Daphnia pulex: one gene and its partners. The protein of the gene in region 1 purifies or fractionates together with the protein of each later gene. This does not show direct contact. Links are inferred from orthologs where the notes say so. Each region holds a gene or a part of one and is shown in the gene's direction. Other genes may lie near its edges.

What was found.
Region 2: the proteins of U3 small nucleolar RNA-associated protein 4 homolog (region 1) and WD repeat-containing protein 43-like purify together in Homo sapiens (co-immunoprecipitation; 5 studies listed by BioGRID and IntAct, counting the BioPlex papers as one, with this or other methods). This does not show direct contact. The link is inferred for Daphnia pulex from reciprocal best matches to the Homo sapiens genes UTP4 and WDR43.
Region 3: the proteins of U3 small nucleolar RNA-associated protein 4 homolog (region 1) and WD repeat-containing protein 75-like purify together in Homo sapiens (co-immunoprecipitation; 3 studies listed by BioGRID and IntAct, counting the BioPlex papers as one, with this or other methods). This does not show direct contact. The link is inferred for Daphnia pulex from reciprocal best matches to the Homo sapiens genes UTP4 and WDR75.

The regions. Positions count from the first base shown.
Region 1 is NC_060026.1:2,371,822-2,376,999, reverse strand, and holds U3 small nucleolar RNA-associated protein 4 homolog, read left to right. Parts: upstream 1-1,807; 5' UTR 1,808-1,862; coding exon 1,863-1,878; intron 1,879-1,934; coding exon 1,935-2,064; intron 2,065-2,130; coding exon 2,131-2,374; intron 2,375-2,434; coding exon 2,435-2,519; intron 2,520-2,588; coding exon 2,589-2,725; intron 2,726-2,784; coding exon 2,785-2,965; intron 2,966-3,045; coding exon 3,046-3,183; intron 3,184-3,305; coding exon 3,306-3,376; intron 3,377-3,490; coding exon 3,491-3,757; intron 3,758-3,891; coding exon 3,892-4,488; intron 4,489-4,693; coding exon 4,694-4,987; 3' UTR 4,988-5,026; downstream 5,027-5,178. UniProt on the Homo sapiens protein: Ribosome biogenesis factor. Involved in nucleolar processing of pre-18S ribosomal RNA. Part of the small subunit (SSU) processome, first precursor of the small eukaryotic ribosomal subunit.
Region 2 is NC_060019.1:12,668,487-12,673,433, forward strand, and holds the start of WD repeat-containing protein 43-like, read left to right. Parts: upstream 1-1,865; 5' UTR 1,866-2,051; coding exon 2,052-2,243; intron 2,244-2,608; coding exon 2,609-2,874; intron 2,875-2,937; coding exon 2,938-3,171; intron 3,172-3,237; coding exon 3,238-3,405; intron 3,406-3,469; coding exon 3,470-3,635; intron 3,636-3,698; coding exon 3,699-4,052; intron 4,053-4,129; coding exon 4,130-4,299; intron 4,300-4,370; coding exon 4,371-4,606; intron 4,607-4,668; coding exon 4,669-4,904; 3' UTR 4,905-4,947. Other genes in the region: uncharacterized protein LOC124191035, read right to left, coding at 1-497, 564-986. UniProt on the Homo sapiens protein: Ribosome biogenesis factor that coordinates hyperactive transcription and ribogenesis. Part of the small subunit (SSU) processome, first precursor of the small eukaryotic ribosomal subunit.
Region 3 is NC_060024.1:6,402,828-6,407,927, forward strand, and holds the start of WD repeat-containing protein 75-like, read left to right. Parts: upstream 1-1,950; 5' UTR 1,951-2,033; coding exon 2,034-2,158; intron 2,159-2,228; coding exon 2,229-2,418; intron 2,419-2,483; coding exon 2,484-2,767; intron 2,768-2,823; coding exon 2,824-3,008; intron 3,009-3,077; coding exon 3,078-3,233; intron 3,234-3,304; coding exon 3,305-3,525; intron 3,526-3,603; coding exon 3,604-4,139; intron 4,140-4,200; coding exon 4,201-4,388; intron 4,389-4,450; coding exon 4,451-4,611; intron 4,612-4,672; coding exon 4,673-4,867; intron 4,868-4,940; coding exon 4,941-5,100. UniProt on the Homo sapiens protein: Ribosome biogenesis factor. Part of the small subunit (SSU) processome, first precursor of the small eukaryotic ribosomal subunit.

The DNA.
Region 1 (5,178 bases):
TTTTTCTTTTTGCCCTTTGACAACATAACAAGAAGAGTGGCCGTGTGTGTGTGTCTCTTTAAAGCTGGAAATGCCCGGCCGATCAGTCACACGCACACGCGGGAGCGTTGCACAACACTAAGAGAAATTCCACTTCAATTTGATCCGGCTGCTTTTTTGTTGGGTGGGGGAGGCGGTACCAAATAAAACAAGAAGGGGGGCCTTCATTTGAGTTGCTGATAACAAATTGATGGCCGCCAGAGATTAGACGTGTGAAAACTACTCGAAGAGGGTCATCAATTTGCCATTCCGGCAGCGCCAAAAGATTTTTACTTTTTTTTTTCCTCCACGATCAATTAAGCAATCAGGAGGGGCCGCTCGGACATGTCGTGTTTACCGATGCCGTTTCATGTCCGACTATTCGTCGATGGACACAATCAAAAATACAAGAATTTGATTAAGGACGAGCTACCGGATGGATTGCCAATTTTCTTCGTCGGGCCATGGCGGGCCAGCCAGCCGATGATCAACATGTGGAAAATGTCCGCCGGAATCGAATTTTCCCCGTCAGCTCTTAAAAGGGTCGACATTTTAGGACTGAAAAAAGGTCCTGAATGCAATCAGCGACAATTAGATTTCCAACATTTTCCCGGATGGGCATGGATTTCGTCGCTTTTGATGAGCACCAAACATCCCACACACTGTTGATCAAAGTTTAACGAATTTTCTAAATGTTTTAGAGCTCTTCCGCATTAAACGTATCGATTATTCTTTTTTGGGGCTTGGAGTAATATCACAGAGTCTTCCAATTTCTCCTTGACATGCAAATCCTCAACCGCTCGAATTCAGGACAGCCGATTGCTGCCTTTACTGGATTGGTGGTGGGTGTCATCAGATTCCGTCGTGCCATTCGGATGAGTTGGGAATGACGGACCAGAAACTTCGCCCGGGTGGATCGCCTTACTCCAATTCCATCCCGACAGCAGCAAAGCAAAGCAAAGCAAAGCAGCCCAGGAATTTGTCTTGTTTATTATTTGTCGCTGAACTTTTGGGATTGAAACAAACTCTGGTTTCACGCTGAAGTGTCGCGGCCACTGTGGTGTGTATGTACGTACGTACGTCTCTGGTACCCACGCAGCTTTTGTCAATCTGACGTCATTTGTACCACAGCCCATCAAGAGTGGAGGGAGCTGGGAGGGGTTTATTTTCTTGTTTAGGCAATTGGTCGGGTTACTTCGACAGCCCTGAAGAAAGAAATTGTACTTGAAGAAATCAAATAAAGCAACGGTTTTTACTTGTAGTACACACAGTCGTAGACGATGGAGTATACCGAAACATCAAACGAAAAGAAAGACGACCGCAACTGCGTCACTCGGCGAGCTTTGGTAATCGTTTTCATGGCCAAGGACAAAACAGAATTCAAGAAGAGACATTTTTCTTGTTTTGGGTTTTTTTATTCTTAATATAATCCTGGCCCCGGCCTTCAGAAGTTTTGACTGTCCCCATTCCACTTGAACTGAACGACGAGAGAGCATTAAAAAGTAAGTAGTCTACTCTTTTTGATCATTGTGTGACATTGAAGAAGTTGCCTTTGTGTGTGCAGGGTAAGTATGTTTGATGTCAACTGTCGTGGGACTGTGTTAATATTGAAAAGGTTTTGTTTTTTGTGGGGGCGAAAATGTATTGATTTTTTCTTTGTATATAAAGACGATTACAAAATACAAATACACTGTTGCGTACCTGTCAACTTGAGTTTTCATTGATTATTTTTGAATTTCGATGGATAAGGATACAAGCTTCGGAAATGAACGGTAGATGGACTCAGTGCACTGGCAACACGTGGTCGTCTGCTAGCAAAGCGTGTAACGTGGTTATGACTTTTGATGAACAATTTACCAAGTTATTTTCTTTGTTGCAGTAAATTTGACGGTTGATTGATATTGTTTTTTTCTTAGCTGCTTTTGCAATTATTTCTCGTAAAATGGACAAGAACCTCTTCAAAATTCACAGCACCAGATTCTACGATGTAGAACCAAAAGCGATACACAGTATGGCTTACGAGTCTAACCGGCTAGCTCTTTCCAGGTAATTCAAAAATGAAAGCTTTTATCCCATGACAATGTTGCTCATTTTGTATTGAAAAATTGAAAGGTCAGACAACAGTATAGAAATATGGAATTTGGAACATTCTCCTCACATTGAAAAGTTGATTCCTGGTTCCCCAGAAGGCTCAATCGAAGCGTTAGTTTGGTCCAAAGGCAGGCTCTTTTCCACCGGCTTGCATGGTTTTGTGGTCGAGTATGACTTGGTTGCTCTTTCGCCCAAAGCAAGTTACGCTGTCACATCAGGATCTGCATGGTGTCTTGCAGTCAACAAGGAACACACACACTTGGCGGTAAATTGTTTTACATTACAGCAAAAGTATTTGTAATTCAATTTTTGTTGTTGTCTGCAGGCCGGCTCTGAAGAAGGATATGTCTGCTTGTTTGAAATCTTTGAAGAAGGATTGATGTACTATAAAGTTTTCGACAAACAAGAAGGTTAGAACTTGAAGGTGTTTTGACGATTGCAGTGGAATTTTATCTTTTGGTGCACATTTGAATCTTTAGGTCGTATTCTTTCTCTGTCCTGGCACAGCTCAGGCGACTTTATCGTCACAGGATCATCCAACGCGATAAGAGTATGGAACGTGAAAACTGGTCACGCCGTCAATCGTCTATCTCTCGGTCGTGCCGACAGTTTTAAAGTAAAACCATTTGCCTTCCACTTTCCATTCAAAGTTCTGACTCCATTTCTTTTTAATAGGAAACTCTCGTCTGGTGTGTCTGCATCACAGACGACTTTGTCATCATCAGTGGCGACTCTAGAGGCATGACATCGTTTTGGAACGGTAAATTGGGCACTCTGATTGACGAAGTGAACGCCCACAAAGCCGACGTACTCTGCCTGTGTCTATCTGAAGATCAAAAGACTCTCTACTCGGCTGGTAAACTCAATTCATTGGTTCAATTAAAAACGGATAGATAACATCATTGGCCCACTCTACAACATTTGATTGAATCGCAGGAGTCGATCCGGTCATAGTGCTCTTTGCTCGCGTCACAGCCGGAGTCCGGAATCAGTGGATTCGATCTGTCCAGCGTGCCATCCACTCCCACGACGTACGCAGTCTGGCCCTGGCCGGTTCCAAATTAATATCCGGAGGTATGTCGAAAAGAAAAATCATGCATTTAAATTGCAAAAAGAATAATGTTCAATCATCTCGAAATGAATTCCGTCATATTTCTTTTTTGATGATTTATTTCTTTTTGGGTTTTTCTTTCAAGGCGTGGATGCCTATTTGTGCATCTCATCATATCCTCCAAAGGCGTTAAATAGATACCCACCCTTACCTCAGGTATGTGTATAAAAATATCGAAAAAGAAAAATGAGAAACGGACTTGAATAATGATGGCTCGCGGTTGTTGTTGTTGTTGTTGTTGTCTTTTGGGGATTCGTCTACAACACACAGGCGCCGTGCGTGCAGATGGCTCAAGGCAAGCGACAGCTGCTGCTGCGTTACCCGACGTCGCTGGATGTGTGGCAGCTGGGCGCGGCCGCCCCGAGCGGTCACCAGCTCAGCGCCAATACTTTTTTGAAACTATCCCAAGAGCCGGCCCGTCTCTTGCAGCTGAAGGCTAAAGATGACGAATGGATTGTCTGCGCTACCGTGTCACCCGGTGGCGATTACGTGGCCTACGCCACCGAGTCCAACGTCTACATTTATCATTTCATTCAGGTATTTATTTATTTATTTTTTCTGGTCCCGTATTTTTCGGCCTTTCACGAATTGCTTTTTCTTGTTCCGTTTGACGTGAAAAATGTGAAAACGACTTTCTTTTTTATATTTTTCATTTATTTCTCTCCCCCCAGTCGGCTGGAACATTGCAACTCAAAAAGTTGGTACCGCCGGAAGACGTCGGCACCTGCCACCGGATGATGTTCATCCATCACCCGACAGAGCCCGACCTTTCTGCCCGTCTCTTGCTGGCCACGCCGAAATTGACGCTCCAGTTGGTTGACGTTGGCAGCTCGGGATCGATGAAAATGGTTCACACGTTCAGCCGCGAGAGCGGCCAATTGACGATGGACGACTGCATCCATTTGATGGACTGCTCGGCCGACGGTCGACTGGCCGTCGTGGCCGATCACACGAGCAACGTCGTCATCCTGGACCTGAAATCCTACAAAGTGCACGCCACTCTGCCGCGCTACAAGAGTCACCCGACGGCGCTGGCCTTCCATCCGTCGTCGCATCTCCTGGTGGTGTCGTACGCCGATCACAAGATCGTCGAGTACGACGTCATCCGTCGCCAGTACACGCCCTTCTCCAAGAAACTCTCGGAGAAGCTGCCCGTCCAGTGGCTGAGTCGATCCTGCGCCGTCCGGCACATCACGTTCGACGTCCGCCACCCGGACGTGATCATCCTGCACGACGACAGCGTCATCTACACGATCGACAAGAACAAGGTAAAGATGGGACCCTTTTCGGTATGTTGTCATCGACGGTTGTTGTTTGGCTTTCTTTTGTTTGATTTCTTTCTTTCCTGGGAAGGCAAAACAAGTTGATGGCCGCTTTGGTAACAGTTCCCCATGACCCCTCGACTGGCCAGTGGAGAGTTTCTATTATTCTTATCCCTTTTTATTTTCTTTCTTCTTTCGCCGGTTGGAATAGGAATTTTCTGAGCCGGATGCCAAGATTACCAAATTCGATACGGGAACGGAGGACAGCCTGGACGCTCCACCCGCCGCGCTCAAGGCGCCCTCAGCCCAGCAACAGAAACTGAACTCGACGGCGGCCGGCAGTGGACCGTCGTCTTCTTGCTTTGGCATGTCGAAGAAATACAAACACCTGGCCTACTTTGGTGCCCTTGACGTTGGCGGCGAACTGGTGGCCGTCGAAGTCAGTCCTTTGGCGCTGGAGAAACACTTGCCTCCGGCCTTGTACAAGAAACGATTCGGAGTTTGAGTACTGCTGCAAAAACAAAATAATAATCAAACAACAAATTTTCCCTGTTTTGGTCGACCATCGATTTTTTTTCATTCATTATTATTATTATTTGGTTTTAACCCGAAATAATAAGTCGGGGCAAGTGCGTGTCAACCACCACCGCTAGATGTCAGCGTCGGTCTTCCCTATTCTTATACACGGCCGAGACA
Region 2 (4,947 bases), on another chromosome or scaffold:
TTGTCATGGTAAAGTTTTAGCCACTTCTCTTTGACGGTGACTTCTTCAGGAGCTACATCAATACCAGCCATAAGAGAAGCATTCATATTTTCTTCCTCGCCATCTGCAAAAGCACCTACTGAACGGCGCTTTCTTTTGTTACCTGGAACTTCTTTCTTGGTTGGGGATGGTTCTTCTTTATTCGCTTTGTTTTGGCGTGGTGATTTGGCTTGAGGTGATGGCTGGCTTGTTTTCTTCAGTGGCCCTCTAGTTGCTTTAGCCATGGCTGCAGTCTGCGGTGGTGGAGGGACCGTCTTCTTCGATGGCGCTTGAAGTTTGATTTTCATAGTTTTCTCTTTAGGTTTTCTGACAGGCGACAACCGTGTTGTTTCTTTGACCACTGCCGGGATTTTTTTAGTTTTTGACGCTACTGGGGTGGCAGTAAAGCGAAAGCCAGCCGACTCGCGAGCCTTCCTCATTAGATCCCGCACGTGCTCCGACAGATGCTTTTGCATTTCCTGTTGAAGAAAAACAAACAAATGTGTTAGCTTATTGATATTAGGGGAAAATGTTTTTCTTTTTACCTGTCTAGCTTTCATCTCACTCCCAAAACTGCTGGCTGTGTACTGGCATCTTTGAAGCAGGTGGCATGAGTAGGAAAATGTTCTACGTATTTCATCTGAATCCATCAGAGAAAAGAGATCCACCAGTTGTTTCTCAGTTAGGAGCTGAAGTTGAGCCAATGATAATTTATTGGCATCAGTAGTCTCTTGTTCGGGTTCAGGTCTTCCTTCAGTGACCTGTTTGCGAGGCCTTCCTCTTGGGTTGCGAGTCTTTCTAGCCAAAGAATCATTGTGGAGAGTAGCTGAAGCAACTTCTGCTAACATATTCAACAGTCCACTGTCAGCATGGCAGCTATCATCATCTCTTGATTCTTGGGCTCCTTTCCCTTCAATGTCATCATCACAACTTTCCATTTTAACTTTGCACTCCAGTTTTTGTGACATTACTCAAGCTACGATTCACCCTTCATTAGTTTTTGAGAATGGTCCTAAAACACAGAAAAAACAACATCAATAATCTAACAAAACAGACAACAACAAAAACCAGTAATCAATCAATAATACCAGGCTTGGCATAATATAGTTATTCCCAACTCAAATAATAAGAAAATAAAATTAACATCATAATAAATATTAAAATAAAAAAAAAATTAATTAAAATCGTTAAGCTTTTTGACTTTTGACTCGTAGTGTTGACTATGAAAACATTAGCAACTCTAGCAGAAAGGCGTCGACAGTACTATTATACGAAGTTTTCGCGCCGCTTGGCTAAAATGGCAGCCGACACGGCACAAACGCAGACGATGTACATCCTAACGGCGGCATTGTCCGTCATCTCGACTCGACTTTCAACAATTTTCGATAAAACGACAAAACAATCTTTAACGAAATGTACCTCAAACTACTCAGAATCGAACTTCTAATCTAAACAACACCAACAATTGTCATGAATATGTCAGATATGTTAGGAAATAACGTTAAAAAATGAAAAATGCTTTGAGATCAAAACTACCTTTAGTCTGCTGGCTTGAGTCGTCTGGAGAGTGAATGGTGGGGGGTAGCTAACGCTATGTTGCCGATTTCCTATTTTGATTATTTTTTGCTATCATAATTATGTGTTATTTATATTTATATCTACTGTTCAGCATTAATAAAAATTTATTTCACAATTCATAGGTTGTAGTTATAATCACTGGATTTATTCATTGCAAGTTAAAAAGCTGTTCCTAATTCATCATTAACAAGCTGTTTTTTAACACTATTTCAACGTAATTAGATTAAATTCACCATATTTATTCTCATTTATTTATCCCGTTGAGGAATTTCAGTCTAGCTGGAATATTTACAGGATTTTAAAAATAAATGGGTCGAGAAATCAGTGTGAAATACAGCGTTGTGTGAGATTCAAAAGAATTACAACCACTTTACATTCTTAGTGCACTAGTGAAATTACATTTGTCGACATCGATTGTATTTCCACGTGCTGCTGTGGAAAGAAAATTTGATGTAATGGCGGCTCGCACTTCAGAAACTGCGTTTTCCCCAAATGGACAATACTTTGCTAATGTAAGCACCGACAGCCGATTAAAAATATGGGAGTGTGAATCCGGAAGACCAAAGCAGGAATTTACCCCCGCGTCGCACTTATCAGCCGCTTGCACGTGTCTCGTTTGGGCACCCCCTACCAAACAGCCGGAACAGGTAAAATTTTTCGTTGTTATTAGTTATATGTAATATATGTAATCATTAGTCAACTTCTTGCAGTTTTAACTGCAGATCATCTGATAATGTTTTGAGGACATCAGTCACTGGACTTGCTTGTGTCATTGTCACTCGCAGAAATCTAACTCCAGAAATTGTGAAGCCATCTTTAGTAATTAAAGCTCATATAACATTTACAGATATTACTGATAAGACTAATTGAGTTCTGGTTTGATTATTCAAATTTTAAAGTGTTGTTAGTTCTCTTTATACTAATAGTACTAGGTAGATACAATTGCCTTGTCCCTGTGTATGTACCACGAACAGTTGTATGGCTTGAATAACAATTGTTTATTCTTTTACAGATTGTGAACCAGAAGAAAAAGAAACGTAAATCCAATGGAGAAGAGAGATCTGGGGTGGCTGGGAGTGATATTATTGCTCTTGGTACAGCCTCAGGAAATATTCTTCTATATAGTCTCAATAGAGCAGAATTGGTACAACAGTTGAAGGGAGGCCACACAGGGAAAATACGCTCTTTGTGTTTTAATAGTGACGGCTCGTCTCTTTTCAGCGCTGCATCGGACCAAAAAATCGTTGAATGGGATCCGGTGGAAGGTGTTATGAAAAGGTCTTGACAGTTCAGAATGTGATAAAAAAGTTCCCATTATTAATGTGGTATATTTTGTTTTAGTCATTGGAAGGTGGAAAAAATCCACGTTTCCCGAATTTGTATGCTGCAAGATGATTGCACTCTTGTAATAGCTGGCCGTTCAATTCAATGTTGGAATGTAGAAAGCCGCTCGATTGTAGCCACATTCACCGGCCACACAACAGAAATTACTCATCTGCTACCCGTGTATTTACCAGGCACAAAAGTTGGATACTTTCTAAGCGCTGCTGATGGAGACCGTTGTATCAGTGCATGGTTAGTGTTTGTAATAAAAACTGAATAATTCAGCATTTACAGTTGCAAGCATTACTAATATTGCAGGAGATTCGTCGGGGAAGAGAAAAACGGGCAGTCCCAGGCGTCGTTTACTTTGCAAGATGATCCGTATAATTTTACCGTTTCAAAACCTGTTTCTGACAAGGATCCAGTCGTTTTGGCGGCAGTGACGGTCACAGGGATCCTTCACATCTTTGAGCATCATTTAAATGGGTATAATTTTTTTGTTACATTTGTGTTGAATATGGATTCAATGATTTGTTTTGTAATTTACTAGACGGTCAAAGAAGCCTTTGCAACCAGTTGTAAAGATCCATATTGGAAGTGATGTAGTTGGTACCGCAAGTCCACTTCCCGTTTTATCTGCATATTCGTGTGGTGATGCAGATGGAAACTGTATCATTGTATACGGGTCGCTTGTTCGACCTGGATTTGAAAAGATGGTATGTTTTATTTATTTAAATTTGCTGGTGTACATAGTAATTATTATTCGATATGTGTAACAGTGTTACCGATCCCAAGAAGGAATGGCTTATATTGTTCGAAGAGATCCAGCTTCTCTGGATAATTCTAAATTTGATACTACGTCATCGGCTTTGAAATTGAAAACTCCCATATTGCCAGCTGATGTTAAAACCTTAGCTCCAGAGTACATGGTGCCAATGGCAGCGTCCGCTGAGGTCGGAGGTGTTGTTGCTGGAAGAAAGCGGAGAACGCAAAATTCGGAATCAAGTTCTGGTCCGGTTTCGGCAAAAGATTCTCTTCCGATGGAACAGAGGCTTTCAGCTTTGAATCTTACCAAGACCGTCGATGCCGTTGCCCCTCCACAGGCCGATAACATGGCCCAACTTCTTCTTCAGGTTTGTTGAAACACCAGTAAAATAAAACCTCTTGCATTGCTTCGCATCATCTTAACCTCTTCTTCGTCATTTTATAGGGGCTACACAGTAGGGATCCAAAAATTTTACAGAGTGTGTTGGATCGCGGTGATGTTCACATCATCGGCAACACGATTCGGCGAATTCCAGTACAGGCCGTTTTGCCACTTATCCTAGAACTGACGCGTATGATGCAATTCAGAGGGCATCCCAATTATTCTTATGCAAAGTACGTATATTTGTCGTGTGTTCCTAGATAAATGGCTGTTCTTACTATTCTTTATTGTTTCCCGTTGACAGGTGGTTGCGATCTTTGTTGGAACATCACGCTGGATATTTGACATCGTGTCCTGATTTGGCGTCGGTTATGACGCCACTCTTAGCTCTGATGACTGCCCGCACTTCGCTCTTCCCTAAGCTTTCGCAGTTACGTGGTAGACTGCATCTTATGTTGGGAGAATTGGAACATCGAAGCGATAAACAAGATTCTACAACAACTGAACTACCAGCTACAGCTCTTCTTGTGTACAGAGAAGGTATTAAAATCAGAAATATCGACTCAATGTCTATCAATACTGACGACTTAATACTTTCCCAGAATCGTCCGACGAAGCAAGTGAAGAAGGAGATTGGCCACTACAATCTGGGTCTGAATCAGAAGATCAATGGGATGAATTATCTGATTATGGCGAAAGTATGGACGTGAACGAAGTGAAAGGTGACAGTGATCAAGAATCTGACGATGAAGACAATAATGAGGAAATCGACGAAGAAGTGGAAGAAGCTTCTGATAACGACATTGAAAGCGTTGTAGAAAATGGGTTGTCAGATTGATTTAATTTCAGTTCCCCATGGATTCATGAAAATTACAAATGAA
Region 3 (5,100 bases), on another chromosome or scaffold:
ATATATCATCATAAAAACAGCTGACAGTTAGATTGGCTGACGCTTTCACGCTTAACACACCCGTGAATTTAGAATTTTTTTTAATCGGTTCTTTTTTTCATATTTTATTCTTATTATTATTTGCACGGAAATATGTGGACAAAATCCTGTCTCTGGTTCTATGTCTGTGATGGGTGTTACTAAAACGCGAAGCGAAACGGCGGAACGCGAAACTCCTAAAACGCGAAACAGTGGTGCGAAACGGTCCCAAAAATTGGGGACCGTTTCGCGGGTCCAATGGCCTAAGGGCATCCTAAAGTGCGAAACCATTTGCGAAACCTTTGATTTGTGAAATATAAAAAATTTCCTGTTTTTAAATTTCTGAACACCCTTACTACCACGCCCCCAACTACTTTAAACCGCTCCTTACAACTTCCGAACGAATCCGAACGAATTAAATCAAGATAAAAAAAAAGAGCCTCTAAAACGAATCTGTCTTTGCGGTTACAACTTCCTTTCTATGCTACGCAATTGAGAGAGGAGGATTCCTCAAGTTTGTTCCCAAGGACCCTGATGTCAAGGGAAGTCGGACAAATAAGACAAAATTCGAAGGTGAAGACAAAATCGGAACATGTAGTAATATTTTTCATTTGCGTTGAGAGAAGGCGCGTGATAACACACAAGTATGTTTTCTATGAAAACAAAAAGAAATGGTTTGTATCTGTTTGATCAATTTCATACGTCGCGCCCGAGGAGACGATAGGGACGCTTAGTGACGCCATATATGGCGGACGTGCGTGATTCGTTAACAATCTAATCCATACGTCCACGCCAATATGTGACGGTGTCAGTATAAATTCTCTTTTTCCTCTACTTTCCTTTAAAAGCAGACAAAAAAATGAACAAATTGCCAGGCACTAAGGACACATTTCAACAATTTTCAACTCCAGCTTTCACGTATGGCACGCAAATGCTTTATGCGTACCGTTCAGCTTTATGAAAATGTAAAATGCTTCGTTTTTGTTTTGTTTTTTCAATCTAAACTGAACGAGAAAAGATTTCCCTCCTGACGCTACTTGCGATGTCATGAATGATGAAATAACGGAACGAGATTCCATCTCAGATAAAAAGGCGGATAGCTGTTAAGTTTTAAAATGCTATATTCGGTTGAGAAAGACAATTCTACTTCGTTTTTCGATAAAAATGTCGTTCAAGTGAGATTTTACCCAGAATGTCAACCTTAGCATAAAAAAAAAATGTATCGTGCCCTGTGCTGGATTTTCTACGTAATCGCCAGTAAATATTTGTGGTCGTCGCGCTTTCCAAAGCAAACGCTTCACGCAACTTTAGCAACGAAGAAAATACACGCGCAAACAGTTATACAACTTTTGAAACTTATGCATGAAATATTTGAACTTACTTTGTGTTTTAACAGGACCATGAATGACCTCTACATGCAACTACACACATTGGCAGTGTGCCCTTACTGTAAGCTGAGAAGTGATAACCTAGAAGGCTAGAATCATAATTGTCATAATCAATAATAAGAATCATAATGAATAAATGTTGTGTAGAACAGTAATATGCACTTCTCGAAACGAAGAACTTTAAATACACGGAAATTTTTGAATTATATTCTCGTCTTTAAATAAATAAATTAAAAAAATAACTTACTTTCAATTTTTTATTAGCTTCTAGTTCGACACTTTGACGACTACTTTTAACAATACACTGACGACTGACGTCGACTGTTTCGCGTCTACGGTTTCGCATTTTAGTAAGACCTCTAGCGCCTAAACTGCGAAACGGTCCCGAAAATTTTTGGGACCGTTTCGCACCACTGTTTCGCGTTTTAGGAGTTTCGCGTTCCGCCGTTTCGCTTCGCGTTTTAGTAACACCCGTCTGTGATTTCTGATAAAATTATATTTGCCGCTGTTTATCCCCAGCGTTGCGCGGATTGCTTGTTATTCCGCACAGACGCTACAGAGTGGCAACCATTGCCATAGCAGACGAACAATTTTCTGTCTTTTTCTTTTCGGCTTTAAATAGTGAAAATGGCGAATAAGAAAGCACGTGGTCCGGATAAAGCTAAAACTAATACAGACAATATTGTTGTTAAAAAACAAGAAGATGCACCCGACATTGTTAAACAACCTCCGGTTTTTACCGACGATTCAAGGTATAGTAATTATTTCAAACAGTCAAAATGTTTAGGAATTATTTTGTTTGTGCTTCTATTCGCTTGACAGGTATTTATGCATCGCGTCTGGCCGCCAAGTAGGAATTTACAGCATCCAATCGGGAGATAAAGTGCATTGTTTAAAAAAACATAGTTTTGATATCATTGGTTTGGGTATCAAAGAGGAGAATGTTCTCTACTCGTGTGACACCTCTGGAGACGTTATTGAATGGGATATAAAAGACGGAAAACTACTGAAGGTTGTTGTCTAGTAAATTTATCCCCTCTCAAGTTTTGTTTTCTTAAACTTCCATTCTTTTTGCAGAAAACTTCAGTTGCAGTTGATGGCATGAAAAAATTCTGTTCTTTTTACTATCCAGGAAATGGCATGTTTCTGTTATCAACTCCATCAAAAAATACCAACGGTTCCTCTCTTTGGATTGTCAATAGCACAAGTGAAAGGGAAATATTCTCTGAAGATATTAGAAAAGAACCCCAGTCTGTTGCATTTGGCTGTGATCAAGGAAATGGATCACTGGTTATAGGGGCCTTGAATTACCAATGTAATGGTGTGTTGGTCAAAGACATGAATAGTGGAGCTGAGAAAAAGTAAGCTATATATTTCTATAATTTTGAATTTTAACTTATCAAATATTTTGAAATAGGCACATGACAGACAAGAGAAAGTTCACTTGTATTGCTTTGCACAAGGAAAAACTTATAATGGCCACAGGAGATATCTCTGGCCGTATTCTTCTTTGGCATGACTTTGTTAATCAGATCAGACCAGTGAAGACTGTGTACCATTGGCACACACTTGCTGTTTCCTCGGTCTGTTTTTCTAGTGAAGGTTTGTTGCTTTTAAGAGGTTCTGCATGACTGTGTCTTAATTATGTACTATTTTTAAATTTAAATTTAGGTGAATACCTTTACAGTGGAGGATCTGAGAAAGTAATGGTCAAGTGGCGACTTGAAGGCAAACACAGACAGTTTCTTCCACGTATGGGCTCAACAATCAAATTCATTGTGAACGCTCCTGATAACATCTGCGTCGCCACATCTCATTCCGACAATGGTAATGATCAAACTTTTAATAAGGAACAAAAAAGGTTTAAATGATAGAATTTTATCCCCCCCCCCCCATAGCTATACGTATAATTGATTCGACCAACAAAATCAATCAGGCCATTTTTGGTGGGTTAATCAAACACGATCCGATCCGTGGTCTTGAAGATGGTGAATCAAAGAAAGAATCGGTGATGCCTACTGGTCTGGTTTTTGATCCACGAACCCAAGGAATTTTCTTCAATTCACAAGCTGGATTCCTCCAGCTTTTTGATCCTCTGAGAGGTTCCATGATTTTCAATGTAAGACAATTTTTCACACACAAGTTCGATCACAAAATGTTCATTAATGAAACAAATTTCTTGTAATTTGTTTTCTAGATGGACATTGCCAATCGCAACGTTCTGACTGACGAACGAAACACCATCATCGGTAACGCCGAAGTGTTGCGAGTTGCTGTGTCACCCACAGGTGAGTGGTTAGCAACACTGGAAGTTTGGTCGAACATGTCAGCAGGCTATCATGACATGAACTTAAAGTTTTGGCGATACGACGCTGTGCAAGCCAACTACGAACTCAACACGGACGTAACTATGCCACACCACGATCGGATCACCTCCTTGGCCTTCCAACCGGGACTGCTGGGCACAGAGTACCCTTGCCTCGTATCTATTGGCCGCGATCTTAAATTCAAAATTTGGCGGTTAGTCGACGACACGGACATTTACCGTCAGAAGGAATCGTGGACTTGCGACGTTGCAGGAGACTTCCGTAAAATGATGCCAACCGCTGCATCCTTTTCGGAAGACGGCTCGTTACTGGCCATTGCTTTTCAAGACACTGTTACTTTATGGGATCCAATGACCATCAACCTCAACACGACTTTAAGCCATAACCTTATTGAAGAATCTATTGAGTAAGTTTTCAAACCTAAAACGATAATGGCTAGTGTTTTACTAACAGTTTGGTTACTCTAGGCTGATGGAATTCGGAAGAGATCAATGCTTTCGCTATCTCGTTTGTGCTTCAAAATCATCCCTCTTCGCATGGGATGTAATTAGTAAAGGACTAGTTTGGAAAGTCGGGAAATTGCGTAGCCCTATCAGGTGTTTGGTGCCTGATCCCAAGTCCAGCTATATGGCAGTGGTCTTGCAAAACAGTGAAGGTACTTTTCCCGTGAAAATCCATTAATGAAATTCGAATGCTTATCTTTCATTGTGTTCATAGTGTTCGTGTTCGCACCTTCGAGTTCGAAACCGGTACATACTATAACGAACGTGAAGAGTTCAGAACCTATTGCGGCTCTTTTTGTTCCCCGACCGAATCCTCTGGCAAACAGCCCAGAATGGCTAGTAAATTCACGGCTTTTGATTGTTGATGATCAACAAGTAAGATTAAAAGATTTACTATGTGAACCATCACCGTATTAACGAATTTCTTTGATTATAGGAATTTTACAGTGTGGATGACAATTCCGTCTGTGGTTTTGACGAGAAGTTGACTACCCCAATTTCTCACATTGACAGTTTACCTTGGACTCCTTTCTCAGCCATCAAAGCACAGAAACAGATCTCGGCAGCCAAGCAGATAGTTCCGGTCATCCATCAAACAAACGGCATCAAGGGATATAAATCAGTTCAATCGGTAACTACATTTCTCATCATCAGTTGTGTATACATTTACTTGATTAACTGATTCTTCCATTTGGTCTATTTAGCTGTTGGAGACGTCAACTTCCACCTTACCTCCAATGTCTAGAATTTGCAATTCCTTCATGATTGACCTCATGATTAAGCATGACACCAAATTGATGACCGTGAAAGCTGACTCGGAGAATGGTGCAACAAATGACTTGCCTACGCTCATGAACGGGCATA